Linked DNA regions of Xenopus tropicalis. The protein of the gene in region 2 purifies or fractionates together with the protein of the main gene of each other region. This does not show direct contact. Links are inferred from orthologs where the notes say so. Each region holds a gene or a part of one and is shown on either strand. Other genes may lie near its edges.

Region 1 (15,777 bases), on a different chromosome or scaffold from region 2:
TACGTTTTAGTATTATGCAACATGAGACCTTGATAGCTGTGCATTAAACAGTGAGAAGGTGCAATTTCGCAATCCCTCATTTCACAGGGACTTTTTTTCCTTTTTTTCTCTCCAATGTGCGCCATTAGCCAAAGGCAGAGGAAAGTAAATCATTCATTTGTGATTTATAATATAAGGATGAATTTTGGAATCAGCAGGGCCGCAGCGAATTGATCAGTCCACTAGATAGGGTAAGCAAGGCTATGAGGCTAGACAGTATTTCTTGCATATCCTATTAAGCCCCTTTACCATAAACCCTTCATTGAGACTAGCAGCCACAGATTCAGTTCCACACTAGAGAGCTACAGAGATAATGCATTTCAATCCTGTTTAGAGCTGCTAGCATGCCACTGAGAGTGGGATTCTGGGGGGTGGAGGCCAACATCTGTAGGTCCCTTGGCAGCCAATGCCTACTTCAATATTGTCTCCACCCTCTCACTTTGGACCTATCATTTCAGGATGCTGCTATACAAGGAACAGTTTCAAGAAACTTGAAAAATAGAAGATACTCCAGCCAACTTTGCTGAGAAAGATTTATGGTGTCAGACTGCAGAGGGTGTGGGAGGGAAGGGGCATGAGAGGACGACATGTTCACCGCGAGGAGTTGGAGCTGGAACGACTGCGATGGCGGCGACGTGCGGGTGACCGTGAACGGCGTCTTACTGGGGAGCGTCTCCGAGGTGAACGTGACCTGCAGAGGTTGGAATTTATTAGATAACATAAATACACATTGTATACACTACAGAGAACGGAGTAGCAAGACACAGCTGGATGGAGATTATCTACCTTCTCCTCATGCGTGGTGGTGATCGCCGCCACATCGGGGGAGGTGGCAACATCCGCCGAGGAGGACTGAACCTTCTGGGCATTGCCCGCATAGGCCACGGTGTCAAAACAGCTGAAGCAGTGATCTCCTGACCATCAATCTGTCCTGATGAGACACAGAATAAAAAAAACATTGGCAGGCAGCTTGTATCTTCTTTGTTTATATAAGTCAGCATATTAACAGTTATTTAATCATCTAAACATTAGCCTGGACTATGCAATAAGCTAAGGGCAGTGGCTAGTTGGGCATTTTATTTGGCACTAACCAAAGATGCCTTGTTAAATGCAGGTCGCTATCATCAGCACAAGTGCCATGAGCGATCTGCACCCATCACTGACCAAAACGCCCTCTATGCCACATTCCAAAAACAAATACGTAAAATCTGTCAAAAGAACTATATATAGTTAATGGGTTATCAAGGAAAACCCCTCCTACCTCCATCCATGTGCTTTAAAGCTTTCTCTGCTTCTTCAGGAGCTTCAAATTCAACATAGGCATAGCCCTTGGACAGGTGTGGGTGGTAGCGATCAACAGGCATATCTATCATCTTAATCTTGCCATATGTGGAGAAGATCTCTAGAATATGGTCCTTGGGGAAAGAGGAGAGGCATAAAGTTCAGTTTACCTAAACTACTAGAATAAGGAAGTGAAATGTTTTAGACCAAATCTAAGTGATATATCATAAAAACTGTGAAAGCAAAACTATGCCAACGTGCATTATACAGAGATTGGTGAAAGGATGCACCAAATGCTGCCCTGTAAGGGACGGTCTTGAATTTTTCCTGGGTTTTGTAGTATCTCTTTTTTACGACAAACATCTGGCCCCAGGTGGCAGACAGCTGCCCACAGGAGTAACTGCATTCCCTGCCTTGAAGAGAACCTACTTAAGAGTCAGCTGTCACTACTACAATATGTAACTGTGTGAAAGGCTGCCCACTACCCAAAGACCCTTCACAGAAGAGGAAAAGATCAAGTAATTTGAAGGGGCCCAGATTGTCCCATGCATCGTTTCTTTTTCAATCATATTTACAATAACCAGCATATCCCAAATGTCAATATCATATTATATCAGTAGGCATTTAAAGGAAAACTATACCCCTAGAATAAATACTTTAACAATTTATAGAATGTTAAGTGACCTATTAAAGAACCTTGCCAAACTAGAATAATGTGGAAGTAAAAAAACAGAACTCTGCCCCATTTATCGACTGAAGTGGCCTATCATGTATGTGTGGCTTGGTTTATGTGCATCATATGATCCCAGGAGGCAGCCCTTTTCTATTTAGGATTATCCAATGGCACATAATACTAAAGTATAATTTTTATGAAAATGGTTTATTTAGATGAAGCAGGGTTTTACATATGAGCTTGTTTGTGCAACATATTTTTACAGAGACTTACATTGTTCAGGCGTATAGTTTTCCTTTAAAAGTTTTAAAAACTTTTTGGTTTGAAGTTTGGTTTTGGTTTTAAATGAGAACGGCGCCTTGGGAAATTCCTCCACTGGGAAGGCAGAACATAAAAGTTTTTCTGTACAAAGTCTGTGCATGCAAAGCAAAAACTACAGAAAAGCAAAACACAGTTAGCATAAGGCACACCAACCTTAGTTACATTCCTTGTCAGCCTCCCAATGTGAACTTTTGTGGGTCTGGGACTTGGGCTCCGTCGTTTTCTTTCTTTTTCATCACGTTTTGGCTGTTTGGATCTATTAAAAAAAAAAAATAAAAAAATAAGTGTTCATACTGACTCTCGACCTAATAGGCCTCCAATATGGCTTGCAGAATAAGCTTTTAGATCAAACAGGCATCCAATGAAATTTAATTGGCATGCAGAGTCAGACAAGTCACCACTGCTACTTATACTTCTACCACCCTGTCCCTTTGCCCAGTGCTAGCTCACATGACATTCTCCATCATTCAAGAACAAAAAAAATAAAATATGAACAAAGACTCACTTTGAACGGGAGCGCCTCCTGTTATCATGGCGGCGCCGAGAAGGACTTGGGGAACCCGAGGAGCTGCTGGAACTAGAGCTGCGAGAAGAACTGGAACTTCCTGAACGGCTGGAAGCAGATGAAGAACTGGAACCCGAGCTGGATCCAGAACTGGAACCTGATGATGAGCTGGAGGATGAACTGGAGCGGGAACGGCTGGGGAGAAAGGCATGGTTAGTCTGTAAGAACCATCAACTGTAGCTTAATATTTCCTCATATGCCCATGTTTAACAGAAAGAAATGTGTTAAGACATCTCTTTTGCCACATACCTACTGCTGCTACTGCCACTAGAGGCGCTGCGCCTCTTCCTTGCTTTATCACGCCCGCGGTCTTTATCTGTGCCTTCTTTCCCTGGAGCTTTCTCTTTGCCTCTATCTTTTGCTCTGTCTTCTGAGCGTTCCTTCCTCTTGCTGGGTGAAGGAGCCCTGGGATAAGCAGAGGAAAAGAAAATTTAGAGCCCTGTAGCAACATGTTTTGTGTCAATATTTTGGCCGGATGATGGGCAGCATCCAAGCTAAGTTTGTACAACCATTTAGGATGACATGGTTAGGGTGGCTTAGCAACATTATTATATAAAAAAATCCTGCCTACATGAATTTAATAACTGATCAGTTAACATCCCCTGGTTCTATATTTTAATCATGGTTTATTTAGTTTGTACATGAACAAAAACCACAAGTAATAAAGCCCAAATCCAGCCACACGCAGATGTTTGCTTGATTTGTCAAGACAAGTGCTAGTCCAAATCGACCCCAGCCCAGACAGTCATGCCACATAGGGAGCCCGTGCACCCCTTCCAGGACAGCACCACACCCACAGCCAGATATAGTCCAGACAGGATTTTCTAGCCCTCCAATTGATATCTGTCTAATCAAACAAACTTGGCCAAGAACAGACGGCTGATACTGGCCCAAGAAAAACCATCTTGCTGCTCAGATGCAGTTCATTAATCATATACAGCATGCTGTGATGAGAAACACTCTAATGCCTAGTGACATTAGGCTGATGTCCCATGAAATGTGTTAGCAGACAGTTAGAAATCCCTGCTACCGGGGACAACTAATGGCTCCGAAATACCATTCCACTGGCACAAACAGGAATCGCTGGTGGAAAGGCCTTCACATTGCTTTGGTTTTCTGAAGTTGTGCAGAGTTTCCTCCTGCAGGCAAGCTCAGAAAACCAAAGCGACGCAAAGGCCTTTCCACCGGAAACTCCTATTGTTGCCAGTGGAAAGGCATTTTCAGAGTGGTTAGATGCCCTCGATAACAGAGATCTATCACGGGCGAGTAAAAGGCAGCTCTGGGAATGTGCTTCCAGGTGATACGCTAGGATGGTAGGGCTAAAGAACTGGTGGGGTGCATGGGATTAAAGGAGAAGGAAATGTATAATCACTGGGGGGTGCCAAATGTTAGGTGCACTCCAGTAATTGCCAACGCTTTGCTAATACCCCAGGCGAGTGCTCCTGTTTGCTGAAAAACGCACTGGCCCAGGGTACATCTGTAAGAGTGCCACACTGCAATCTTTTCTTAAGCCCCAGGCTGGTGCACTCTTCAGCACACAGATGTCTGGCCCAGAGTATCAGGTAAGTGATTATATTCACTGGAGTGGGGGTACCATATATCCTGGAGATGGCACTTTCAAGGCAACTAATAATAACTATATTATCCAACCTAGAGCAGCCTGAAGCACAAGAAACCCGATTCCTCCCATGAAAAATAATGCCTTCCAGTGCTTAGTGGAGTGTCAGTGCTGTATTATGTGGCTGCTTCTGGGAACCAAAGTGCCTTCTTATAGGGGTTTGTGCCTTAAGAGCCAGTACCCAGCCAGCAGTGCTGCACTCCTGATGAAAATCTCTCCTTTGCTGATCTCCAAACCTTCTACAGCATTGGTGCAACTGGGTATTGGGGGTTCTTGGGCACTGAGTACCCTGCTTGCCAATGCAGTGCACACTTGCCTACTGAATTATGAGCAGGACGGCCATTCTGGAGAATCACTTAAGGGCGTACTTATTACCCCTGGAGACAAACTTCAGTGGTGATGTTACCCATAGCAACCAATCAGACCTTTACAATAAAACGCTGACTTCCGCTTTAAGCCGCGTACAGCTGAGCACTTCATCTGGTGCGCAACTGCTTTTTTTTTTTTAGAATGTTCCTGTAAGGGTGATACAGGGTCAAACAGCTGAAAAATGCAAGTGGGAGTAACATGTACCGGTTATTACAGCGATTAAAAGTTAAATTATGTTGGTCTGTGTAAACGCAGATGGAGGCTTTATTATGGGTACTGGAAACACGCAGGTCAGTGTGGTTCAGACTCTCCCCAACCTCAAAGCATATATGTACAACATAGCTATGGCCACCACCTTGTATTGTATCTCTCCTTAAGGGCTCTGGTACACGGGGAGATTAGTCGCCCGCGGCAAAACTCCCTGCTCGCGGGCGACTAATCTCCCCGAGTTGCCTTCCCTCTGCCATCCCACCGGCGACTTACACCGGCGAGGCGATTTCGGGAAATCGCCGAAAAAGCCTCGCGAGTCTTTTTCGGCGATTTGCGCGAAATCGCGCCGCCGCGTCTGCCATCCCGCCGGCGACTTACATGTTCGCCGGTGGGATGGCAGAGGGAAGGCAACTCGGGGAGATTAGTCGCCCGCGAGCAGGGAGTTTTGCCGCGGGCGACTAATCTCCCCGTGTACCAGAGCCCTTAATCCCTCCTCATTAATTTGCAGGCAACACTTGAAACCTTTATCCTGATAAGTTGAACAATTAGAAAACAAGGAAGGGGGGATTTAAAATGCCATGGTGGCCCTATAACACCTATATCCATGCAACTGTGGCACTTAAAGGAACAGTAACACCAAAAAATGAAAATGTATAAAAATAATAATAAAATATACTGCTGCCCTGCACTGGTACAACTGGTGTGTTTGCCTCAGAAATTTATATAAACAAAGCTGCTGTTTAGCCACGGGGGCAGCCATTCAAAGGAGAAAAGGCACAGGCACATAGGAGATAACAGATAAACTATTGTATTCTACAGAACTTATCTGTTATCTGCTATGTAACCTGTGCCTTTTCTCCTTTTTTCCAACTTTAATGGCTGCCCCCATGGCTACACAGCAGCTTATTTATATAAACTATAGTAGTGTTACTGTAGCAAACACAATTTTTACCAGTGCAGGGCAACAATACATTATATTATAATTACTTTAAAAAAAAACTTTAATTTTTTTGGTGTTACTGTTCCTTTAATAACAATGGGGTAGAGCATAGTACGTTTGGGCAGCGCTGGGGTCCTAATGTTCAATTCCAGCTGGGGGTCACTATCTACAAGGAGTTTATATGTAACCCTTAGACTGGGGCAGGTTCTGATGTAAATGGAGTATAATGTTGCTGTTATATAAATACAGAATTACTGGAGATCCAAGAACCCCAAGGTTTTTCCAGACATTTAATACATATATTAAAGCACTAAAACTAATGGTGCCCCAATACAAAACGTAAGCAAACCCACAGGGCAGCAGCACATATCAATGAATGAAAAAATCCAGTGCAAAGCATATACACATTGAGGGAATATACCCAGAGAGAAATACAAGGCAGCCTTCCCTAGACGGGGGCAGTCAAGCAGTGGCAGCCATTTTTGTTGTCCCCTTACATAAACACAACAATTTAACCAGTGCAAGCTCAGAAAGAATTCATTTTACATAAAGAAGAAATCGCCCAAACCCATATACAAAGGGAATAGTGTGCAGAAGAAACAACTCCCCAGGAAGGTATAGACGCAGCGATATGTGTATCCAATCAGCTGCGGCCTATACCCCCATAAATCCTCGGTACTGCGTTCGGGGCCAATCCCAAACACCACCCTGCTCTCTCTTAATCAATACATCGGTGAATAGAACCCGCCATGCTTCCCCTGCACCGTCCCACCAATATCCAACTCGTACGGAAAGCAGCGCTGCAGGATGGAAAAAGATTATGGAGCTCCGCTTACATTTTGCCGCTCTTTCGTTGCCTGTCCCTTCTAAGATCAGATAAACCGTCGCGTTCGTTGTGACGTGTCGCCGCCATCTTGAAACAAAAGATAAGCGACTCTGGTCGCCTTGGCGCTGACGTCACACATTGCTGGACGTGGGCGTGGCACAACAGCGGACGCAAATGCGATTCAGCCTTTTAAAGAAGTAGGATAGTCCCGAGTTGCAGCAGGAACATTACTAGTAATTGTCATTTCTAGGAGTGACGGGGTTAATATGTGTGCGTGTATGTCTATTGCACGGAGCGGAAACCTATGCTGCTTCCTGTTTTGCTCCGTAAACAAACACTAAGTGCGATATGGTTATAAAGAAACTGTGCCAGAAGTACAACTACGCGTCGGTATATAGATAGGTGCGAGGGACAGCCGCTATAAAGGCAAGTGTGGCCTGTGTTAGGAGAGGTGCAGGGATGTTAGTTCTTCCGGATGGGAGGATTGCTTTACGTGTCTCGTCGCACTTTTGGGGCCCATAAGGTGGTGAGTGTGACAAAAAGCAAGGGTGACCCTTTACCTTTGGGAAAAAAGAGTGCAACTAGTCTAGCTCCCCATAAGGTTTGCTTGAGTTGTTGGGAACCCCCATAAACCCGGCTGTCTAGGGGGTTTGCATGAGTTGTCAAGGCCACCATAAGTCCCGCTAGAGTTGCCCAGGGCAACCCTTAGGTTTGCCTGAGTTATAAAGGGCATCCATAAACCTTACTTAGGTCGCCTAGGGCAAGCATAAGGTTTGTATACATTGTACAGGATTCAGTAAGGTTTCATTGAACCTTCCAGAAGGTCCCTAAGGTTTGGAGGGAAGCTGTTCTGATCTGTCCTCTCATAAAGGGAATATTTCCCCTCTTATAAATAAGGTGCATATTCCTTTTAATGCTACACTCAAATCCACAGAGAACTTAAAGGGTCAGTTACTGTACTCACAACACAGAATTGCCTGCCTGAAGGGTTTGATTGGTATCAGCATCACCTTTAATGAGCCCCCTGACCTATTTTTATTAGGTGGGGAGAGAAGCAGGTTCTGTGGATGTATTAGGAGGAGGTGAGAGGTAGGTGCCCTGATGTCTGTTAGTTGGAAGTGAAAGGTATGTTCCCATATGAGGAGTGGGTGTCTGTATCTCTGATGACTGCGTATAAAGAAGGACTGGGCAGTTTTATCATGGGTAGGGGTCAGAATTACTTGTGTCCTAATGTATGTAGTGAGAAATGATATTGGTTTTATTCATGACTCTAACACCAACCTCCTGTTTTCTTCAGATCATTAGTTGCAAGCAATGAAATAAAAGTACCTGTTTAGCAGGTGGAATATCTTGGGGCCAGAACTTCTGAAACCGAATACAACAAGGATCCAATTTAAGGTCATGGTGGAATATAACTGCATCACCTTCCACCAATCAGAATCCAGCGACTGGTTTATTAAAGGGAATCAGCTTGGCCGAGTGGTTCTGCTGCCCAAAGATTTAGCACCACCACTGGCTTTAGAACCCAGATTGAGCACCACTGGTTATTAATGCAATATTTTTCATCCACATTTGATTGGATTGTGGGTGGATCTTAATTGAGATCAGTGCACTGAGACTTTTGATTAATCGCAAAACTTTGTGACGGATGTGGTTTCAATCTATTTCAGCCCCGTAAAGTTTGCTGAATGCTAGAAATATGGGGCGATTGGATGAGAATGCGAAGCACAGGATTGTGATCTTGAGGAAAGCCGGGTTAAGCTTTCGTAAAATAAAGAAAGTTCTGGAGTTGGATAATATTAAGGTGACACCACAAGCCATCTATCTCTTCCTTAAAAGAAAGAACATTGAACCTGAAAAGTCATCCTCTGCCAACCAGACCCAAAGCATTCCCCCAAGAGCACAGCCATGGGCAGACCGCCAGCCTTGGACTCCCTATCAGGAGACTGGGCAGAAGCCAGCCAGTACAGAGACTAAACTTGATGCTGGACACAGGGTACCGCAAGTGGTCAGCCAGGAAGAAGGTATCAAGATAGTGAGTGTGACCTCTCTATCCAAAGGTAACCATGCCTTTCAGGCATCTTCCAGCAACCAGAGACTGATATCCCAAGGACAGGCTCCAGCAGAAACGTGTGAGTGCAATATCTCTGTAGTACCCATTGATGCCATTTTGCATTTTGGCTTGCAGTGGTTCATCATGAGTTCCTAAAAGTTAATCTTTCTGACCAGTAAAGTGTGAGTTTGTTGTACATTATTGTTAGCTAAAACTTCACAACACTATATGATGTACCCTTGCACTAGCTTTTCATATCGGTGTGTATGTATGTATATATATATATATATTTATATATATATATATATATCATGCTTAGTAGTGGAAACTGCCATCCCACCCTGGCGAGGCTTTATCAATGGCAGATGGCACTTATATTGATGACTGAGAAACAATTATCTGTTTATAGATTTTGGTATAACCAAAATGGAAACCACAAAAGCATTAAAAAGCCTTCTGCAGGGGTCGACCTTTGATCATATGTGCATTTCACAGTTAATGGGCCACGACCAGCGCAGTGCCTGCCGGTGGCTCCCCCACAGCTTCACGGAAGAGCAAGAACTCCCGTCCCTGCTCCTAGGAATCCGGCTTTGCTGGTAACCAAGAAGATAGTGGATCGAGCTATCCACCTTCAGAAAAAGGTAACAGAACTCATGGGGGCACTTTTAGTAGGGTTGCTAACCTGAGCTTCCCAGGCTGTTTGCATGATGTGTGTTAATGGGGTTGCCAGGCTAAGATTTTACTAGGTGCCTGATCAGTTGATGGGTGTTTGTGATTGGGCTGCAGTTATGTGCTTCCTGAGGTGCTGAATCAAAGGAGGCCTTCCATCCATGCTTGATCACATCGTTTTCCAACCTTCACTTCCTGGTGCTAGATGAGGCGTTGGGTGCATATAGTAGGGGTGCCATCCAAACCTCTTCTAAGGTACCAGATCACACGGTGGTACTTAGAAGTAGTATTTGGTCTTTCTAAGGTGGCAGATTACATATGTGGTGCATATAGGAGGGCTGCCAACCTAGTTTTTCCTAAGGTACCAGATCACATGATCGTTATTATAGTAGGGTTGCTAACTTAAGCATTCTAAGTTACTGGATCACATGGTGTGAGTTTATAGTTGAGTTGCCAACCTTATTTTTACTTACTTATAAGGTGTTGCATTACTCGATGTTGAGTACAGTAGGTTTATTGGTTTTAGTTGCCCTTGGTACTTTTAACTGTAGAGAATTTTGAGGCACCATTGCAACTCACAGTCAATTGCTCTTTGTAAATTACATGTTCTTACTTGTTAGCAGGTTACTGTTCAGAATGGAGCCCAAATGGTTGCTAATGGAACACATTACCCAGTCAGAACCTACGCTGACAGTCATCCTCCCAGTATAAGAACAGTCTCTGTACCTTCCAAGCAGGTAGGTGAACTAAAAATGTGACTTCTTTGTGTTTTTAACTATCTCTTTTCTCATTTTTATTTTTGCTTGGCAGTGCAAGGGCTATTGCTGGGGGCTAGCTACTTTAGCTCATTCATGACCTTTGGGTAGGCACTCGTAGCTCCCAGAAATAACAATAGTAAACGTAATATCTTTATGTTAACTGTTATGGGGGGGAGGGTTGCCTTTCAGTTAAGTTTTATAGAATATATTATAGAATGTCTTATTTCTAGCAACTTTGCATTTAGTCTTCATTATTTATTTTTAATAGTTTTTGAATTATTTGCTGCCTTCTACATCTTTCCAGCTTTTAAATGGGGGGTCACTGACCTCGATAGCTTAAAAAAAAAAAACTATTGCTCTGTATGCTTAGAATTTTATTCTTGCTACTTTTTATTCTTTGTTTCTTTTCAGGCCTCTTCCCATTCATATTCCAGTCTCTCATTTAAACCACTGCCTGGTTGGTAATGTAAACAACACCCTAGCAACCAGATAGCTGCTGAAATTCCAAACTAAAGAGCAGCTGTAGGCAAAGCTAAATAACCGAAATACCACAAATAATAAAAATTGAAAACCTGCTGCAAATTGTCTCAGAATCATACTAAAAGTCACTTCAAAGGTGAACAATCCCTTTCATATGTGGCCTGTGCTGTTTCATTTTTTCAGTTGGTCCCCATTTCTTAGTTTTTTTTATAGGTTTTGAATTATCTGCCTTTTTTGTCTGCCAAACACCTATTGCAATTTTATGGTTGTTCTTTCATTATGCATACATATACATAGTTCTCTTCCTATTCAGGCCCACTTCTATTCATCTTCGAGTCTTTTATTCAGACTAGTGCGTAGTTGTCAGAATCAATTGGACCCTAGCAACCGCATAGCTACTGCAATTCCAAACTAGATATTAAATAATTCCAAAACCCACACTACAAAAAAATGAAGACCAATGAAAATTACCCGCCTATATTATGTTAAAAGTTGCCCTGGGAGTTTACCTGTTATCCTACCCAAGGCCTCAAAAAGATTTTACCCTTGCTGCAACTGAAGTCTTTTTATATATGAGAAAGTCTAAGCACATCATTACTACTGTATAGTGTATGTGTATGTGCGGCACAATTACCTGGCCAAAAGGGAAATTCAGCCTGACTACAAATCTATTTTGCTGTGTGCATACTTCATTGGCCCCACATGCACTAATATTATTGCTTATCTCATTCAGGTGAAAGATGCCAGCATACAGACAGCATTGTCCTTTCCGCCACCAAGGCCAACCATGAGTGCAGAGCAACTGGACACAGTAAGAGGGGACATTCACAGGCTGACACAGACCATACAGACCCTAATGGACCGGCAGAGTCGCTGGGAACAAGAACAACACAGGCAGCAACAGAACAACCACCAGGAGTTGCTGCAGCAGATTCAGCAGTTGGGAGCTACCTTAACAGCCAAGGCTACTGAAAACTGTCGCACTTATGGTGCCGGGGAGCAAATGGAGGCAACACTCCCTGATTTGGGCGCATTTAAGATGGAACTTTTGTAAAGTGAACTGACTGTGTGGACTGTTGTAGGTTTCGAGCCTTGATTTTGGCAGCACGTGGCTGAACTGGACTATATGATCAGTGGAACAGATCAGATTGTATGCAGTTTCTAATAATTGTATTTACAAGTTTGTTTTTTAAAAAAGAAATATATATATCTATGATATGACCTATTTGCATTACTTTTAGTTTGTTTAAATGGCTAAAGACTAAAGGTGCCCATAAACCTTAAGATCCGCTCGCTTGGCGATGTTGCCAAGCGAGCGGATCTTCTCCCGATATCCCCCACCTACAGGTGGGCAATATCGGGAAAATCCAGGCTAATTCGATTGTTTTGCCCTGGGGCCAAACAATCGAATTATAATGATGGGCATAGGAAACGTCGGTCCGGGGACTGCATCAACGAGCCGATTTTTTAACCTGCCCGATCGAGATCTGGCCAATTTCAGGCCAGATATCGGTTGGGCAGGCCCGTCAGTAGTGCCCACACAGGGGCCGATTAGCTGCCGAATAGGTCTAAGGGACTGATATCGCAGCTAGAATCGGCCCGTGTATGGGGACCTTAAGGCACACTAAATAGTAATTAGGATAACCAGATACCAAATTGTTCTCAAAGTGAGGGAAGACTGTAGTTACCCCACTGTGAATATTGTGTATCAGACTACAGGTTTGTCATGGGGGCAAAATCCTACTCTTACGATGAAACTTATTTGCCTCTAATCAGTGACTTCTCTCTTTCCTTTAGCCTTGTATTCATCTTTCCTTTGAGGTGGCTATGGGGCTGAGGGCAATGAAAAGACACCTATGCATTCTAAGTTTTAAATATTGGAACAATGAAATTGTGTAAAGTTTCTGTGTTTATTTTCATCTACATGTACACACACACAACAAAAATTACATTTATATTTGACAGTTTGTTTAATTAAATTAGAACATAGCGATTGTGCACAAAATTGCACTTTGCACACTGGGTCTAGGTGAGTGACTTGCCTTATTTTGCATCAAATCTCCTTGTGTGCCATTAGCCTTACATACATTTGAAAAGATGCAAACGGAACAAACATGGCTTCCCCAGCTTAAACTTGATCATGTCCACTATAAGGGCTATATGAGAGAGTCTATGTAGGAGGCTGGCCAGCCACTAGCTTACACTGGTGTTTGGGGTATTACTTGGCCACACAGGTCTGTAAAGAATGTGCCTATGTGCAGACAGAAAATTAATTTTGGCAGTTGAGAGGTCAATTCAGAGAGGATCTCAAACTTGTTAGATAAGCACTAAGGGGTGCACTCTTGCTCACTTAGCGCTCTATCCATTGCACTCGGGAATAGAAGCTGACCCTTAGCCTTAAAAGGGCAAGACAGAAATTCATATCAGCAGCAGCACAGCACTTTAACAAACGTAATATTTAACTTAGCGCATTTCTTAATGCAAACGGAACTTTCCCAAAATCCCAAGTAAACTTCAGGATACAGGGCTGTAAGTATGACATCTTAGTCTTTGTCCCACCCCCTTACTGCAGGATAGCAGTATCCATCTCTTTGTCGAAGTGACCAGTGGCGTTGTAGAGTTCCAACAGCGTGCTGAGCTTGTCCTCTGGAGAAGCCCATTCCATGGCCGTACTGAGACACACAGGGATAGATGGCACCAATAGCAGCCAGGGTCTGGATCATAAGCACAGTCACCACTTCCTGGGGCTTTTTTAACACCTATGGCAAAATCATGAAGGATAACATGCAGTATTGCATTATGGCAGACTTTTATTATCAATAACTTACATCTTAAATATGTCTTCCTAATGAGACCCATACAGAGGCCCTTCCTCCTGAAACTGATCATGTTCTGTCCTAATAGGTCAGAGAAAGGCAGCCTGAACCTCCCAATTCATGATTTAAGGCTTCAATTACATTGATCTGGTAGATCACCCTGAAGTTGTGTATTGGTTTCTAATGCTGTCCTTTAGGATGTGCCTTTGTTTAATGTTTGTGATGCCATCTGCAAGGAGAGGCAATGATCAGGGTGCAATCTCCCATTTCCAGTTTCTATTATGGAGAGCTTGGAGTGTGCAATAGTAATGTGCGAGGCAAGAAAAACTCAACCCGCATCTGACCCTAAACCCACAATATGTTTTCACTGTAGGACCCGCGTCTGTTTGCTCTGCATCCCCCTTAGGTTTCAAGACAGGTCAATTTCAGAAGCAGAGAAAAAGTGTACTTCCCCAGTCTGACCTGCACCCAGACCTGCAATGCTCCCCCAGATTTCAACCCTAATCTGCTTGACTGAGCATTGTACTTAGTTCTTACTTATTTTGTAGTCTTTTTAGGTACTGATTCCCTTATCCCATAACAATGATGGCAATCACCCTGCAATAGTTTTCACCAGGGCTTTCCCGTAACCTTAAACTGACAGCAGATCTGGTAGCCCCCCCACCATCGCCACAGTTTTGGAGCAGCTTACTGATCATTAGGGGTCTTTAGCAAAGCCACATGCACCAACACAGGTTCTGAACTCCAGTTATGTGGGAGCCACTAGAAACCATTTTATAGTGGGGGCTGATGACGTGTGAGACCAGGTCTAGGTGCCTTTTGGAATTAGAATTGATCATAAATAGCCTCCTACTGTCCATTTTTATATACTGAGTGTTACTTCCCTGAATAGGCTGGAAAACCTGTTTAAATTAGTACTAATGAGAAGTATGTCGGCATAGAAAGCAACTATAAAAATAAGTTTATACAGCATTGGTCCAGCCATTACCATGTTTGTGTTATATGAAAAGTTAATGACAGATCTCATGAGATACAAAGTATTGTGTTACTGTTTCCAGTCCAGTTTCTTGTTTTAGAGGTTTCCATTCTTCCAGTCATTACAAGTTCCCCTGTTCAGGGTTCATGTGGTGACAGTTTTATATTCTCTCCCCCCAGTGTTTTCAAGGAGAAGTGAATCCTTCAGAAGGTTACCAGCGCAGAGCACCCATTCCTGGTTTCCTTATACGCCACATTCCAGAGTGAGAATCACCTCTTTTTTGTTATGGAATATCTTCCTGGAGGTGATCTGTGCCATCTGCTCGAGCATCAAGGAGCATTTGAGGAATCAAAAGCCATGTAAGTGGGATGGGATTAGGATCCATGTTAAATACTGAGGTGTCTGACTGGCAGAGAGTCCTGGCACACTGACAGTCACATTCACATAGAGTAGCACTCACATATATGTCCTGGGCACCAACAGATGCATTCTTCTAGCGAACGTCCAGTCTTTGGAAAACAAGCTGGATGAACTAAGAGCCAGGATAACTTTTCATAGGGACATTAAGAACTGCAACATCTTTGTTTTTACAGAGACATGGCTTGTCCCTTCCATCCCTGACTCTGCCATTGTTCCTGAGGGACTCTCCATTCACCGCAGGGACAGAACAATAGACTCAGGTAAATGCAGGGGGGTTGGTGTGTGTGTACTGACCAACAAACGGTGGTGTACTGATGTACAGACAGTTTCATCTGGGTGCTCTCCTGATCTTGAATATCTTATGATCAGATGCAGACCTTTTTATCTGCCCAGGGAGTTTACAGCGATATTTTGTACCGCTGTTTATATTCCTCCCCACGCCGACACCACACGGGCACTGGATGAACTGTTTGATGCTATCGACCGGCAGGAAACATTACACCCGGAGGCTGCTTTTATCGTGGCTGGCGATTTTAATAAAGCCAACATGAAGAAAGTTCTGCCGAAGTTTTACCAGCATGTAAACTTTCCAACGCGTGGTGAGAACATCCTGGACCATGTTTACACTCTGTACGCACATGCCTATAAAGCCCGCCCTCGACCAGCTTTCGGCAAATCAGACCACTCCTCAGTCCTGCTGCTGCCAGCCTATAGGCAGAAGCTGAAACGCGAGCAGCCTATGATGCGTTCGGTTCAGCGCTGG
Region 2 (15,480 bases):
AGGTCAATCAGTAAATATGTGCATTCATGCCTGGGACATATACAAATGGGAAAACTCTCCAGAGCTGTACATTTAAACACACCATTGGAATATCCACCATAGAATATCAGAGCCCTTTATCTAAGGGGCCTGGGGGGGGGCTATAGATTCAGCCTACTCAAGATCTCGTTGTATTTACAGACTCATGAACATATAATGGAAAAAACATAATGTCCTGCACAGACAAAGCCCTCTATCCATAATCATCCTTTGGCCCAAAAGCCTACAATTCTCTACTACGCTGAGACAGCTGGAGCTCAGCACACACCTAATTGCTAGTAGTATTTACTGGCATAAACTCTTACAAGCTAAGATGTTATTAGGGAATTTTAAAGCTGACTGACTTCCCTCCATTGTTATGAATAAATGCACCTATTTGTACCATAGGATATAAAAAGAAATATTCCAGTTTATTTAATTATAGCTTTTTCTTAAATCTAAGGGGGGAGAAAAGGCAAAATTCTTTAAAAACTTATAAGATGTCTGTTTACTTTTACCAAACCCAGTTATCAGTACTAATACATCAAATAATATACAAGAATGGATCTGCAATTAAATCAGTGTCTAGGAGAAGTCCAGTTAAGTGAGAAGCAGTAAAGCATATAGCCAATGTCTCCTCTTATATCAGTAAAAGACATGCAAAGCTACACAGGTCACTTCTCTGTTATCTTTCTAGGAGTTATCCCGTTATAAGCCTTATGTCTAAAGACACCTGCCTAGTTATTAAGGGATTTAGGGGCGTATTTCTTAACATTAGAGACAAACATCACCGGTGAAGTTGCCCATAGCAACCAAACAGATCTTTGCTTTTGTTTTCTAACTTGTAGGTTACCATTTAAACCTTATTGCTGATTGGTTGCTATGGGCAGCATTACTGGGGATGCTTGTCTCCAGTATTAATAAATACCCCCCCCCCCTTAGTGAATAAGAACATTGGCTGCATCAGTGCTCTGAGGTGTTGCTCCTCCGACAGGACCAATAGCCCAATGTGACTCACTGGTGGCAAAGATCTTGGTTTGGTGTGACCTCCCTTAATAAGCAAATCTCATAGTGTATCACCATCTTAAACAGAAATTATTTTTCAAAAAGATCGCCAAAAAGAGCAAGGGCTATGGGTAAGAGTGCGCACAGAGCTGCTGGTTATTACTCGGATACTGTTAGTGCAGTCCATAATGGTTTCAACTTGATATTCTCCAAGACACTATGGCAGCCCCATATGCATGTAAATGAGAGAAGCATTAATACAAGGAATTCCTGTGTTTGTTTTTATATTGTTTAAGTACTGAAAAGCCTTGCAATGTTTTGTATAAAGTTGTAAAATGTATTAATGGGGTACATGCTTCCCATTAGTAGCCCCCATTAGTAGCTACCATGCTCAGCAACTGTTGTATCTAGGGGTGACCGTAGTAAGTGTCCCATACAAAACCAAAAATGTGTAATATATCAGTAATATTATAAGAAGTATCTGACAGAGCTGAAAAAGGCTGGAAGGAAGAAAGGAAAAGAGAGAATGAGAGAAAGAGTGAGAGTGAAATTTCACACATATAAAAGAGACATCAAAATGTAGTTATGGACACTATTTTTGGCCTAAAAATTTGTATTTATAAATTTTGCTAGGAGTATAAGGAAACATCTGGCAGTGGCAGTTTAACCTATAGTGGAATAAGCTGGGTATTTATTAAGTTGTGGGTCCAGGTTTGGGTCAGCTACACCCAATTAGAGCTTTACACATCTTTACGTCAAATTAACCCCATTACACTAGCACTGGATTTTATACCAACAAGATAATAAAAACAGCAAAGCTTTTGCTTCTGTACAACAAAGGTCTAGTAAAACCAAACTTTAAAAGTACAATGGCACATAGGGTTTTGTGATGTATTCAGGAAGAAAACAGAGGTGGTCAAAAGGCCCCAACCACTTCTCCCTATTCCCTGTGTAATCTATAAGAGTAGTGCATGTGGGGGTGACAGAGGGACCTCTGCTAAAAGATGCTGAAGCTAGAATGTTAGTGGAGGTCCGGCTGCCACAGTTTCTTCTGCACTAAGCTGTGCATTTGCCATAGAATACTATGGGAAGCAGTTACAGATACTGTGGGGGTACTGTGATTGCAGCTTTTATACACCAGCATCATTTACTTGTTTGTTTAGCAGCACCAAATGTGAGCAAACCTTTCCTTCTTTTATAGCACAATATTTGGCATCTGCTAGGCAGACTGAAATGAGCCCCAGCTGACATTTATATACCAACACCTCCTCCTCAATAGTTAACTCAATGCATCTCACACAACTTCTTATTTACTTTGCAAAGTGCTTCCTGTGTGCAAACTGCTAAGTAAATTTCCCTTTAAGACATGCCAGCTTCTAAAGCGCCTGTTAGGTCTTAAGTCAAACAAGGTGTTTTACCCCCACAATACTCTCAGGGACATTGTATGTCATTAAAGGACAGGTCCCCTTAAGAAGCCTTGACCCGTTAAAGCAGTTGCTAACGCAGGTACACAGGCAAGTTTGTGTAAATGTGTGATGCATCGCCCTTGTATATGTACAGCAAGCAGATGCATGCCAATAAAAAGCAATGCAACAAAGACTTTTGAAAGACAAATATACATATATGTAAATGTAATAACTTCATGTCATGTGACATTTCCAGCAAATCAATAGGTGGAAACAGGGGTGGAAAAGAAGAATGGGATTCATGTAGCTTTATTCTGTGTATTAGGTTTGTACTCACTAAGGGTGAAGACACACTGGGCTACTAGTAGCAGCTACTTTTTCACGGCTACGCCAGCAAAATCCCTGCCATAGACAATACTGAAAATTGCCTCTGCTAAAACACACAGAGACAATTATCAGTAAATGATCAGCACTGTCTGTTTTAGTAGCCACGACAAAGTAGTTGCTACTAGTAGCTCTGTGTCTCTTCACCCCAAATGTAACAGAAGGGGGTGTCTGAAATCAAGGTAGGTGTATGCTGTATACTAGTTGCTTTCATTTGGATTTGATTGAAGTTATATGTGAGAATCATGACATCACCCGCTGGAAAGCACAAACAGAACAATGACATCACATAAAAGCATCACAAATACCAACCTTCTGCACAGGGCACAACTATCAGAGCTCTGTCAATAAAAACCGTGTTAGTTAGGTGCTGGGCCACGCCGACGCTCGAAGGCTCGCGATACTTAACATAACAAACTTTGGAGGAAAATGCAAGAGGAGCATTGCTGAAAAATAAGAGAGACACACAATTAGTCTGGGCATCACAGAAATAGTATTACATCTGATAAAGCACAAAAAGGCAATTTGACAAATGTTAAAGGGACCATGAAAATATTTTCCCATAAAGTAGATGTTTTAACTTTGAAGTTTTAATATTTTATGTTCTTTTATGATTATTGCACTTCCTCAACCTAAAAACATGTCTCTGACACAGCTATAGAACTTATGCTTTCTGCCTCAGACAAACAGCATATATAGCAGGCAAGGATCACATAGGCACATCTAGCTTAGGGGTTTTTGCAAATAGTCAGCAGAATATGAAGTTCACTTGCCATAAAAACTGATGCCACAGGTCTGATTATTAAATGCTGATGCAAAACGCACTGGTTTCCGAGCTGCCATGTAATGAGATTTTGAATTATTCTATATATACAGTATAATGTGAGAAGGCCCCTAAGCTCAGGTAAGTGACAGTAGCACAGAGTATGGGCAGGGAATCAGCAGAAAAGAAGATCGAGGCTACTGGGGGCATTTTTGAGGGCACAGACCTTCCCTGCTAAAGGGCTGTGGTTTCCTTGGGCTAGTAAAAAAAAAAAGTCCAAAATAAAACGTTTAACATTTTTAGCCTACTTCTTTGTTTCGCTTTAGTTCACATTTAAATCAGATTTAGTTGGTTGCCCAGGCAAAAATGAAAAACATGTTATGTTGAGGGAGCACACCAAACAATAAGACATATATTATCTGTGTAAGATCCATTATAATTTACAGTTAATGTGAGTCACTGAACGTAGCACATAATTACATCACTGTGCCATATGACAGTTACCATATATAGAATGCTGTCATTGACAGGAATACAGAAAAGAAAAAGAGGTCGCCATCTGGGATTAAAGAGAAAGGATTTAGCTTCAGCAGGGGAAAAACTGTAAGAGTAGGAGTTATGTAACTGCTAAGGGACAAGATCATAACATTTTTCGGATATGCAGTTACATAACACAGTTATGGCTAAACTTCATGGATACTCTTCAGGTGGGTTTCCACTGTAAAAACTGCCCTTGCCCTTTGCTTCAGTTACATGTGCCTGCCACTGCACACAGGGGTAAATTTTAGCCTGGACAAGAACATATTTGGGCCAAAATCCCCCCACTGTGCAAAGAGACGGGTATGATTGCTCACTGTCACTGCTCCAGGAGCTGAGAACCCACCACATCTGGTAATAATACCCTAAAAGGTTAATTCATGGAAAGCTAAATTTCTCCTTCTAGATTTTCCTTCCTCTGCATCCCTATATTGCACTGAATCCAGATTATTCAGCAGGCAGGTATTGCACTACAAAGGCAGACTTTTAAACAATTAAAAAGTCTCTTCTGCCTGCTATTAAGTGTGACACCCCCAGTGAGCCAGGACGCTACATAATAATGCTCCAATTTGGAACAAAGTGTGGCTAACCAAAACCATGGCAGCATGCAAGAGTCTGTAATCCTCAGGCACATATATATAGTAAGGCATCCAAAAGCCCTGGAACTGAAGGGAATGTACAACTGAAAACCATTAAGCCCAGGAAAATTTCATTTTTTCCCCAAGCTGTAATAAAATAATCCGCAGAAAGATACTGCAATCTTCTGCCCACACAGCCATGGCATGCATTATGCCCTACAGCTGTGGCAAGGTTAGAATGTATAGTCTTGGGCAGGGGTACCCAGAGTTTGTCACCCTGTGATCTACTCTTGCTATCTGGCCTCCATCGTGAGTCTACCAAAAACTTAAAGTGATCTACTGGTAGACCTTGATCTACATCCCGTGGGCACCCGTGGTCTTGGGTCTATAAAGCCCACCCATCCAGATGCACATGTTCATCCATTCACTGCTAACGCTATTCTGTTAAAGGAACAGTAACACCAAAAAATGAAAGTGTATAAAAGTAACTAAAATATAATGTGCTGCTGCCCTGCACTGGTAAAAGTTGTGTGTTTACTTCAGAAAGTCTACTATAATTTATATAAATAAGCTGCTATGTAGCCATGGGGGCAGCCATTCAAAGGAGAAAAGGCACATGCACCTAGCAGATAACAGATAAAACACTATTGTATTCTACAGAATGTATCTGTTATCTGCTATGTAACCTGTGCCTTTTCTCCTTTTTTCCAGCTTGAATGGCTGCCCCCGTGGCTACACAGCAGCTTATTATATAAATTATAGTAGTATTACTGTAGCAAACACACCAGTTTTACCAGTGCAGGGCAACAGTGCATTATATTTTTATTACTTTAAAGCTCTTTCATTTTTTGGTGTTACTGTTCCTTTAAACCCTGGAACATGCCTGCAACACTATGTGAGCTCCAAGGTGCCAGAATTGATCCAAAATCACTCATGCCAGTGTGAAATACCTTAAGCTGCTTGTACACAAGCGACCTTGCCAACTGAATGGATCTGGGCCTGAACTGGCCACCTATGTGACGGCCCAATCAGACTGATCCAATCATATCTACTAGGGCCAATGATCTAAACATTAACATACACCCAGACTCTAATAAGGATTAATTCTATCTTAGTAGGGATCAAGTAAAATGTGTTGTTTTATTATTACAGATAAAGAGGAATCATTTTAAAAACTTGTGTCAAGTGACAGTAGAGAACTCCGGACTTTAGAAGGGTGTCTGGATACTTTTGGCCATATAGTGCAGCTGAGGTTTAAATGACAAAAAAAAACCCCACATAAACACTTGCCACCTGGCTTTTATTTTACTGGCCCGGCTATATAAAAAGATGAGCAATGTAGCGAACAGATACTTCTTACACAGGCTTTTACTAACATGACAAAGAAAATATTTTTAATGGCTGTGTATCCATACTTAAAATTCTTAGAGTTGTCATTATACAAAATGGAATATTTTGTATCCAGTTACAGCTCTAAACATGTTTTGGATGAGAGGTTGTGCCATAGTGATTGGTATATGCAGCTTACAGGGCTGACTGTGCTCACTATTCAGACAAACGTTATCATAAGTACAATGAGTGGGCCCAAACAGCAATCACATGCACAGATACTAATATTCCGCCAGTGGCCTGAGCATTTCCATCCAGATGGCAGCCCCCAGCCCTCCTGTTGTTCGGCCATCTGACGGAAGGATAAACTGAAGCCTTTGATGGGCAATACTAATAACTGCCCCAGGCTCTGACCAATCTGCCTGCACGTGGAGTCCGGAGTTTGGTTCCACAAGGGTCAGTTTCCACCCACAGCCCAAAACCATACACACGGCTTCACTGGCTTCTGGTGAAAACTGCTCCAGTGGGGGCTGCGTTAGTGCCATAGGAGGATTAGAGTGCAAGCTCCAGTGGTGTAGGGGCTAATATGAATGATGTACAATCTCTGAGTACCATTCTACAGGGTAAGAAATACTAATACAATCACCAGCAGATGACAGAAAGCCTATGGCAATGTGACTGCACTAGCACATTCCAGCTGTGCAGATGAACTACAACTCCCTGGGCCGTAGCCATAATCAGCCAAATACAAACCTATACCTTATACTGGTGATTTAAACTGATATTATTATTATTATTATTATAACACCTGCAGCTATAAAGCTGGTAATGAAGCTGGACAGCAACTCCCAGCAACCCCTGCCAAACACTGCTCAGCGCTGCAGCACTCCGCTACTGAGAAGCCCACCCCCATCAATGTGTATGGCAGCCCCTGCACTCACTCAGGCGGATAGAGCCTCAGTTCTTCTATATCCCCCAGGAAGGAGAAGAGAGTCCGCATTTGATCGCTTGTAACAGCCGCAGAAAGGTTTGTAACCTGAATGACCGTGGTCTGCCCGGGGCTCATGGCGGCGGCGGTAAAGGCTGCAAAACTAGAGCGCAGCGAACAAGGATGCACTCCCGCTCCGGCGCAGCCACCACAAAGCACAGGCAGTGGCAAGTGCAGAGCGCCACCGGAAGCGGAAACGCTAACAGTCCCTCACTGTAGAGGAATCTATCACTGCCTTCCCAGTGTAGCCCTAGGAAAGTAAAAGTTAGTGGCGGTGCTGCTAGCACTGCGCTGTACCCGCACCATTTAAACATGGGTAATTGATAACCAGCGTTATAACGGCACTGTCGCAATTACGCATGCAGTCTATAGTTTTAAAGCGAAAATAAAAGTTCTGTATGGTGAATAAACTACGGCTTTAAAGCAGTTTCTGTATGGTCCTGTTCTGCCCTGCTGGCTCTTTGTCTTGATACAATGTAGCAGCAATCAGCCCTTCCCCAGCCAAGGCAGCTTGTGGCTTCTGCTACATCGCTTCCAAATTAGACATCTGGTAGGGAAGCTGGGGGAGTAGTGTTACACTGGGTACCAATAAACCCACAGATAAGCATAGAAAGTGAGGGACAGAGCATTTCACTAGTTAAACCTCATTACACTCAAAGCTGATTGTCCAGCCCTTTGTATGGTGGAGATTTTGTAGCTGCCTTTGCGGTTTAGGATAGGGCCAGGGTTCCAATGAAAACAGTTTGGCAACCTACAGTGGCTTGCAAAAGTATTCGGCCCCTTGATGTTTTCCACATTTTGTCACATTACAGCCACAAACATGAATCCATTTTATTGGAATTCCACGTGAAAGACCAATACAAAGTGGTGTACACGTGAGAAGTGGAAGGAAAATCATACATGATTCCAAACATTCTTTACAAATAAATAACTGCAAAGTGGGGTGTGCGTAATTATTCAGCCCCCTGAGTCAATACTTTGTAGAACCACCTTTTGCTGCAATTACAGCTGCCAGGCTTTTAGGGTCTGTCTCTACCAGCTTTGCCCATCTAGACACTGAAATCCTTGCCCATTCTTCTGTGCAAAACAGCTCCAGCTCAGTCAGATTAGATGGACAGCGTTTGTGAACAGCAGTTTTCAGATCTTGCCACAGATTCTCCATTGGATTTAGATCTGGACTGTGACTGGGCCATTCTAACACATGGATATGTTTTGTTTTAAACCATTCCATTGTAGCCCTGGCTTTATGTTTAGGGTCGTTGTCCTGCTGGAAGGGGAACCTCCGCCCCAGTCTCAAGTCTTTTGCAGACTCCAAGAGGTTTTCTTCCAAGATTGCCCTGTATTTGGCTCCATCCATCTTTCCATCAACTCTGACCAGCTTCCCTGTCCCTGCTGAAGAGAAGCACCCCCAGAGCATGATGCTGCCACCACCATATGTGACAGTGGGGATGGTGTGTTCAGAGTGATGTGCAGTGTTAGTTTTCCGCCACACATAGCGTTTTGCATTTTGGCCAAAAAGTTCCATTTTGGTCTCATCTGACCAGAGCACCTTCTTCCACATGTTTGCTGTGTCCCCCACATGGCTTGTGGCAAACTGCAAACGGGACTTCTTATGGTTTTCTGTTAACAATGGCTTTCTTCTTGCCACTCTTCCATAAAGGCCAACTTTGTGCAGTGCACGACTAATAGTTGTCCTATGGACAGATTCCCCCACCTGAGCTGTAGATCTCTGCAGCTCCCCCATGGGAGTCACCATGGGCCTCTTGGCTGCATTTCTGATCAGCGCTCTCCTTGTTCGGCCTGTGAGTTTAGGTGGACGGCCTTGTCTTGGTAGGGTTACAGTTGTGCCATACTCCTTCCATTTCTGAATGATCGCTTGAACAGTGCTCCGTGGGATTTTCAAGGCTTTGGAAATCTTTTTGTAGCCTAAGCCTGCTTTAAATTTCTCAATAACTTTATCCCTGACCTGTCTGGTGTGTTCTTTGGACTTCATGGTGTTGTTGCTCCCAATATTCTCTTAGACAACCTCTGAGGCCGTCACAGAGCAGCTGTATTTGTACTGACATTAGATTACACACAGGTGCACTCTATTTAGTCATTAGCACTCATCAGGCAATGTCTATGGGCAACTGACTGCACTCAGACCAAAGGGGGCTGAATAATTACGCACACCCCACTTTGCAGTTATTTATTTGTAAAAAATGTTTGGAATCATGTATGATTTTCGTTCCTCTTCTCACGTGTACACCACTTTGTATTGGTCTTTAACGTGGCATTCCAATAAAATTGATTCAGGTTTGTGGCTGTAATGTGACAAAATGTGGAAAAGTTCAAGGGGGCCGAATACTTTTGCAAGCCACTGTATTTTCCTCATGTCCCTTATTGCTGAAGAAGTGTATTTGCAATAGGAAGTTGTTATTAGGGTTGCCAGTATAAAAAATGTAATGGCAATGTACTTGCAGGTAAATTTGTCATAACTAGTTCTCCGCCCCAGCCACGCCTCTGATCCGCCCACAGTCCCTTGCCCAGCGCCCTCTCTATGCCATGAGAAGTCTGCCCAACTTACAAAGGTCTTCTGTTATCAGTGTCGGACAGGCCCACCAGGATACCAGAAAAACTCCCAGTGGGCCCAGGTGTAAGTGGGCCCTCTTGCTCACCCAACCATGCCTTTACCATAGAGAAGAAACAGAAGAAATGGAGGAAAGGATAGATAATAGAATGTAAAGTGAAGTAATTAAGATTAAAGATTAAAGAAAGTTAGTAAACAGAGAAGGGGAGAGTGGGCCTAAGGTCTTCTGGTGGGCCCTTGGCACCCCAGTCCGACACTGTCTGTGATCCAGCTGGTGACACATCGACTCATAACCCCACGTCACGGACACACACCCTCGCGATCCCTCCCCCATCCCGCCAGTACTATTGTTGCCAAAAAGGTGGCAACCCTAGTTATTAAAAAAAACTAACTCAATTCATTATTTTAAAAGAGAGATTCTCAACCAGTGGCTCAGGGGCAACATGACGGCCCTTTTGTGTTGCTCCCAGTGGCCTCAAAGTAGGTGCCCATTTTTACATTTCTGGCTTTTGTTTGCATGAAAACCAGGTTTCTGCACCGCTCAGTGATGTAGCCTTTCCTTTTCTTTAAAAAAAAAAAAAACTGCACCTGTCAGCTTTTCGACTCTACTGTGCATGCCTGGGCCTGGGCCTGGGCCTATCAAATAATGAAGAAGCAGAAGAGATGATCACCTAACATTAGTGATTTTAACTTTTCTCTTTAAAGTAAATCAATACCCCAAACAATGTATAAAACTCTGCTTCATCTAACAAACCTTTTTAATAAAAAAAATATATACTTTTTTAGAAGTATGTGCTATTGGGTAATGCTAAATAGAAAATTGCCATTTTAAGAATTAAGGGCCGGATCATAGGATTTACAATAAGCACACAGATATGTTATGTTAGGTCACATCAGCCAATGACTGGACAGAGTTCTGTCTTACTCCCACATTACTTCCTGTTACAGTTAGAGCTGCATTATTTCCTGTCAGGTGATCTCTGAGGGAGCACACAGCCCGTCACTAAATGGCGGCTCAAGGGAAAGGATATAAAAGGGCAATATTTACTGATATATAAAATTCTTTAATAAGCCACTTATTATGATATAAACTATCTATTGGTTAAGTTTTCATTCTAGGGGTATAGTATTTTTTTTAATGTGGTAGTTCATCTTAAAATTCCTTTTAATATGATGTAGACAGCATATTTTGTACAGCAGGTCTCTGTTGAATTCAGCAGCTAAACGCAGACCTTCTTCATTTAGAGAAAGTGCTATTATTTTGTGGGGCTTCAGGTCCCAAACACAGGGCAAAGTATGAATGAAAAAATCGGGGCTCATTAAATCCTACCCCCGGTTTAGCAACTGTTAGAAGCATCTCACTGGCAAGTTTAATGTAAGGTTCCGCAGGCCGGGAGATTCTAACAATGCGTAGTGTTGGAAGCGCCCACGTTATTGTGCAGCACAGGGACCTTACTGTCAGCTCCAGCTTCATTGCACATTCCTAAGGCCCCGATCCATTACTGTTCATAGAAGTACACAAAGGGGTATATTGTGCCTTTTAAATGTACAGCCTTACTAAATACCAGCCGTAAACATTATTACAAGCTGCATCACTGCAAATGATTACTGGCTTTACCATAGGCCACTGGCACAAATATCTGCATGATGATTTTAGTTGTAACGATGTATGTGAAATATTTGTTTGCTTTCAATGCGCATTGCGGCACATGGGAATCCAGAAGGATTTTTGGCAGAATCAGTTTATTCAATTATTGAAATGATTAAATCTACAATGGTTGGTTTTACCGTATCTAATGCTATGTCTCAGCCAAAGCTACCTTATTGAGAAACTGGCCCCTTAGGTTTTAAATCAATAAATGAATGATATATTTACCAATAAGACTTATTTTCAACTGCATTGGTTAATGGGGTACTGTTGTTGGAATCAAATTGTTTCAAAGCCATATATTGCGTAAAATGTTGTTTTGATAAATTGCACTTTACAATTTTACGTGGTATTCTTTTTCCTGGTACTTAAAGGAGAATGCAAGTCAAAATGTAAAAAGCATACTGCCCAATAGTCCTCCTATTGTTTAGTAATAACGCCACACTTTTGGCTCACCTAATCAAATATTTACTCAGTCACACTTACTTCACATTTTCTAGAACAGGCAGCCATCTCTAAAAAGGTATTCTCCCTTCCTTTCCCTCCTTGCTTCATACTGCACATGTGTTTCATTCCCTCCCCCCCTCCCCCTCTGCCAGATCCGCTTCTGATTGGTTGGTAGGCATGTGTAGCTCAGAACAGGAGACAGGATCAAGTTACACACATGCTCAGAGAATAGGAAGGCTGCCGCTGGCACCTACAGGAAGGGGAGAGAGATTTCAGTGATGTCACTGTAGGCTTCACACTGCTGTAGGCTGCCAGCACCATATCTCAGAGAAGCAAGCAGGGATCTGGGAATTTAGATATGCAGTAAGTACTTAAAAAGAATGCCTTTAGACTTACTTTTAATTTTTATTAACCTTTCATTGTCCTTTAAGGCACTGTTACTATTTGTTTCTGGAAACCTGCATCAGCTCTGTCCTGATTTATAGCAGGGGATCTAGATTTACAGTAAGTATTTAAAAAAAATATTGGGATCCACGCTCACCAAAAGGATGCATCGTTGCCAAAACTGAAAACAAGAGAAGTGGGCCAGATCAGGCCGATCTGATTTTATTGGTCTGTAGATCAAAAATTGGATCACATGGGGCACCCATCGAGAGCAGCGCATCCACGTCTTCATGTGGCCCTCCAAGGATTTTTAGCCTTACCAGGTGATGTCTGACAAAGGCCTGATCAGTTATTGGTTCTTTTGATTTGCTTCTAACCCTTTCCTGTCACTACTGGAGACTGGGAAACTTGGTACTTAATTGATTGGTGCACCTAAGGGGCCCCCCCAGGAATAAAAGTCTAACACACAGATATAGCAAAAACAGTAACATTTATGTAAGAAATAAAATATGCATTTGGGCATCTAATTCATCAAAACAATAACTGTACATGGGACAAATGTGGCTAACTAGCAAAGAACATGCTAGCCAACTGAATAAGTCTCTAAGGCTAATGTCAGACCAAGCATTTTCTCTACTTGAGCAGAAAATGTTAATACTGCCTTATGCCAAAACTGCAATGATTTTGAGCCAAAAATTATCCCCGTGCAGTGCCAGGTGAATGTCATTCCTGTCAATACTAAGAAACTGCACTTGCATGTTTTCTGCCAGCACAGAAAATGCTTGGTCTGACGTTAGCCTAAAAGTGACAGTTCCCACAAATGGATCCAGATGGGTGAATAATGGCACAGTTCAGTCTTTGGCAGCATACATGCCACTACCCCTAAATACATCGCCCTTTAGGTTATTCGGCCAAGTAGAGTCCTGCAGCAGGTCGGGTACCCACAGGTTAAATGCAACCAAAAGCAGGTACCCTGTGGGTTGCAGGTAGGATTTTTGGATGTGGTAGAGATGCGAGTCTGCAGGTCCTTTTGTTGTCCATAGTTTACCCCTTTAAATGTTTTTTCTCAATTCTTACCCACTTCTGATGATGTTACTCCCGGTCTGCAGCAACAACACTTCCAGTTTAATGGTGGTCCGCGAGTTGCAGATAAGGCAGTTGCAGTTCGGGTCAGGTGGTGGGTACAATCAGGCTATAATGCAGGTTGCGAGGCGTGTTTCATAGTTGGAAAAATTGGATTGACGCAGGACTCATGTAGCAAACACAAGACCTATCCTTGAAGGGTCCTTACACAAAGGCCACTCCCTTCTAATGCTGCCAGTATAGTCCAATGGCAGCTAACTCACTTGGACACTCTGTGGTGTTGGCACTCTTACAAAGTTCTCCCAATTCTTATTGCATAATTAATTAAATGATACTATAGATTGATCTGTCAGGAATGAGTTTACTGTTCCCTTACTGCATCATGTCTTACCCTCAGTAGGCCTGTACTAAAGGGCAAGTAAAAACACATTCAGATTAGTCTCTTTTGGACTTTCTACTCACCTACAATCGAGGCCTTCTGTGACACTGCCCAAAGCCATCTCTAGCAAAGCCAAAAGGAAAAGTGACATCATATATTTAGTAGCAGACACAGCCTCACTGGATAACATGGCTGAGCTACAGGAAGCCTCTTAAATGGAAAATGAGTGATTGCTATAACCAATATTTATTGAGTACAAGTCGTCCCCCCCCCTTTATATTATAACTTAAGGTCAAGATATATGAATAAGTAATTTGTCATTCTTGCTACTATTCAATGAAGCGGTCCAAAACGGAGGTGTATAAAGTGCTCGATCTTCAGTCTTGTGCCTTTATACAGTCATAGAATTCCTCGGTGACTTCTAATATTATTATATTTCACAAAAGGGGGTACATTATTCTCTATGTATGCACAAGTCTAAATCATAAGGCTTAAAATGAATATGTGCTCTGCATATAGTTGTAGTAAAATCAAATGTTTCCTTAAAACAAGATCACATCAGGTGGGGCTCCGTTTGATTCAGTCAAAGCAGAAGGAAAAGTAAAAACTAAGTAAGCTTTATCAGAAAGGTCTATGTAAATACAGCCATAAGCACTCACAGAAACGCTGCACTGACATCTCTGTCAAAAGAAATACAGGATTTCTTGTCTCTTTTGTAAACATGTTCTTAGGGTGTCTGACTTCCCCTCTCAGAAAAATCCTTCATTCCATGGACCAGAGTCTGCCCAGCTCTGTCCTCTCTCTTCTCCTGGACCACACCCCTTAAGAATTCAAAAGAATTCACTCCCCCCTCCTTAGGAATGTGTGAACTGAGCTATAACAGCTATAACTGCAGCAGGAAGCTACGAAGACCAAGCTAAAATGGCAGCTGCTATCTTAAACAAATGGAGGGAGCTTCTATGGCTGTTTACTCAGGAATGGTAAAGCTTTCTGCTGAATAAATATAGTGTTCTAGGTGGCACTAATGTGGCAAATCTATTGGCAGTAAAATGCCAAAATGACTCCTTTTCCTTTAACATTCCATACACAACTTTTAATCATCAGGACAGAGCTGTTATTACAGTATAACAAAAGCATTAACCCTATTATAATCTTAAGTATTCCTGTTACTTTTTAATCCTTTGTGTTTATTCGGAGTAAATTAGAAACATATGTACCCCCTACTATAAAATAATATGATTTCATGACCATTAAAAGGTTTTAGATGACATGTCTAGATGAAGGCCGTATGTTGTGTTGGTGCGAAGGTAGGAAGGAAGATGCTATGGGTGATGGCTTAAGTATAGGTGAAGCATATGGGACCTGTTATCCAATGCTTGGTACCTAGGGTGTTCTGGATAAGGGATCTTTCAGTGATTTGGATGTACTTACCTCAAGTCTACGAAAAAAATCACTTAAACATTAAACCCAATAGGATTGTTTTGCCTCCAATAAGGATGAATAATATCTTAGTTGGGATCAAGTACAGGTACTGTTTTATTATTACAGAGAAAAGGGAATCATTTAACCATTAAATAAACCCAATAGGGCTGTTCTGCCCCCAATAAGGGGTAATTATATCTTAGTTGGGATCAAGTACAGGTACGGTTTTATTATTACAGAGAAAAGGGAATCATTTAACCATTAAATAAACCCAATAGGGCTGTTCTGCCCCCAATAAGGGGTAATTATATCTTAGTTGGGATCAAGTACAGGTACGGTTTTATTATTACAGAGAAAAGGGAATCATTTAACCATTAAATAAACCCAATAGGGCTGTTCTGCCCCAATAAGGGGTAATTATATCTTAGTTGGGATCAAGTACAGGTACTGTTTTATTATTACAGAGAAAAGGGAATCATTTAACCATTAAATAAACCCAATAGGGCTGTTCTGCCCCAATAAGGGGTAATTATATCTTAG

What was found.
Region 1: the proteins of srek1 (region 2) and rnps1 purify together in Homo sapiens (affinity purification with mass spectrometry; 3 studies listed by BioGRID and IntAct, counting the BioPlex papers as one, with this or other methods). This does not show direct contact. The link is inferred for Xenopus tropicalis from reciprocal best matches to the Homo sapiens genes SREK1 and RNPS1.

The regions. Positions count from the first base shown.
Region 1 is NC_030685.2:21,731,909-21,747,685, reverse strand, and holds the start of rnps1 (RNA-binding protein with serine-rich domain 1), read right to left. Parts: upstream 6,973-15,777; 5' UTR 6,855-6,972; coding exon 6,853-6,854; intron 3,285-6,852; coding exon 3,129-3,284; intron 3,015-3,128; coding exon 2,820-3,014; intron 2,571-2,819; coding exon 2,468-2,570; intron 1,455-2,467; coding exon 1,301-1,454; intron 971-1,300; coding exon 826-970; intron 731-825; coding exon 631-730; 3' UTR 1-630. Other genes in the region: uncharacterized protein LOC100490582, read left to right, coding at 8,542-8,974, 9,391-9,536, 10,185-10,301, 11,536-11,856. UniProt on the Homo sapiens protein: Part of pre- and post-splicing multiprotein mRNP complexes. Auxiliary component of the splicing-dependent multiprotein exon junction complex (EJC) deposited at splice junction on mRNAs.
Region 2 is NC_030677.2:187,486,244-187,501,723, forward strand, and holds the start of srek1 (splicing regulatory glutamine/lysine-rich protein 1), read right to left. Parts: upstream 7,291-15,480; 5' UTR 7,087-7,290; coding exon 6,962-7,086; intron 3,260-6,961; coding exon 3,126-3,259; intron 1-3,125. UniProt on the Homo sapiens protein: Participates in the regulation of alternative splicing by modulating the activity of other splice facors. Inhibits the splicing activity of SFRS1, SFRS2 and SFRS6. Augments the splicing activity of SFRS3.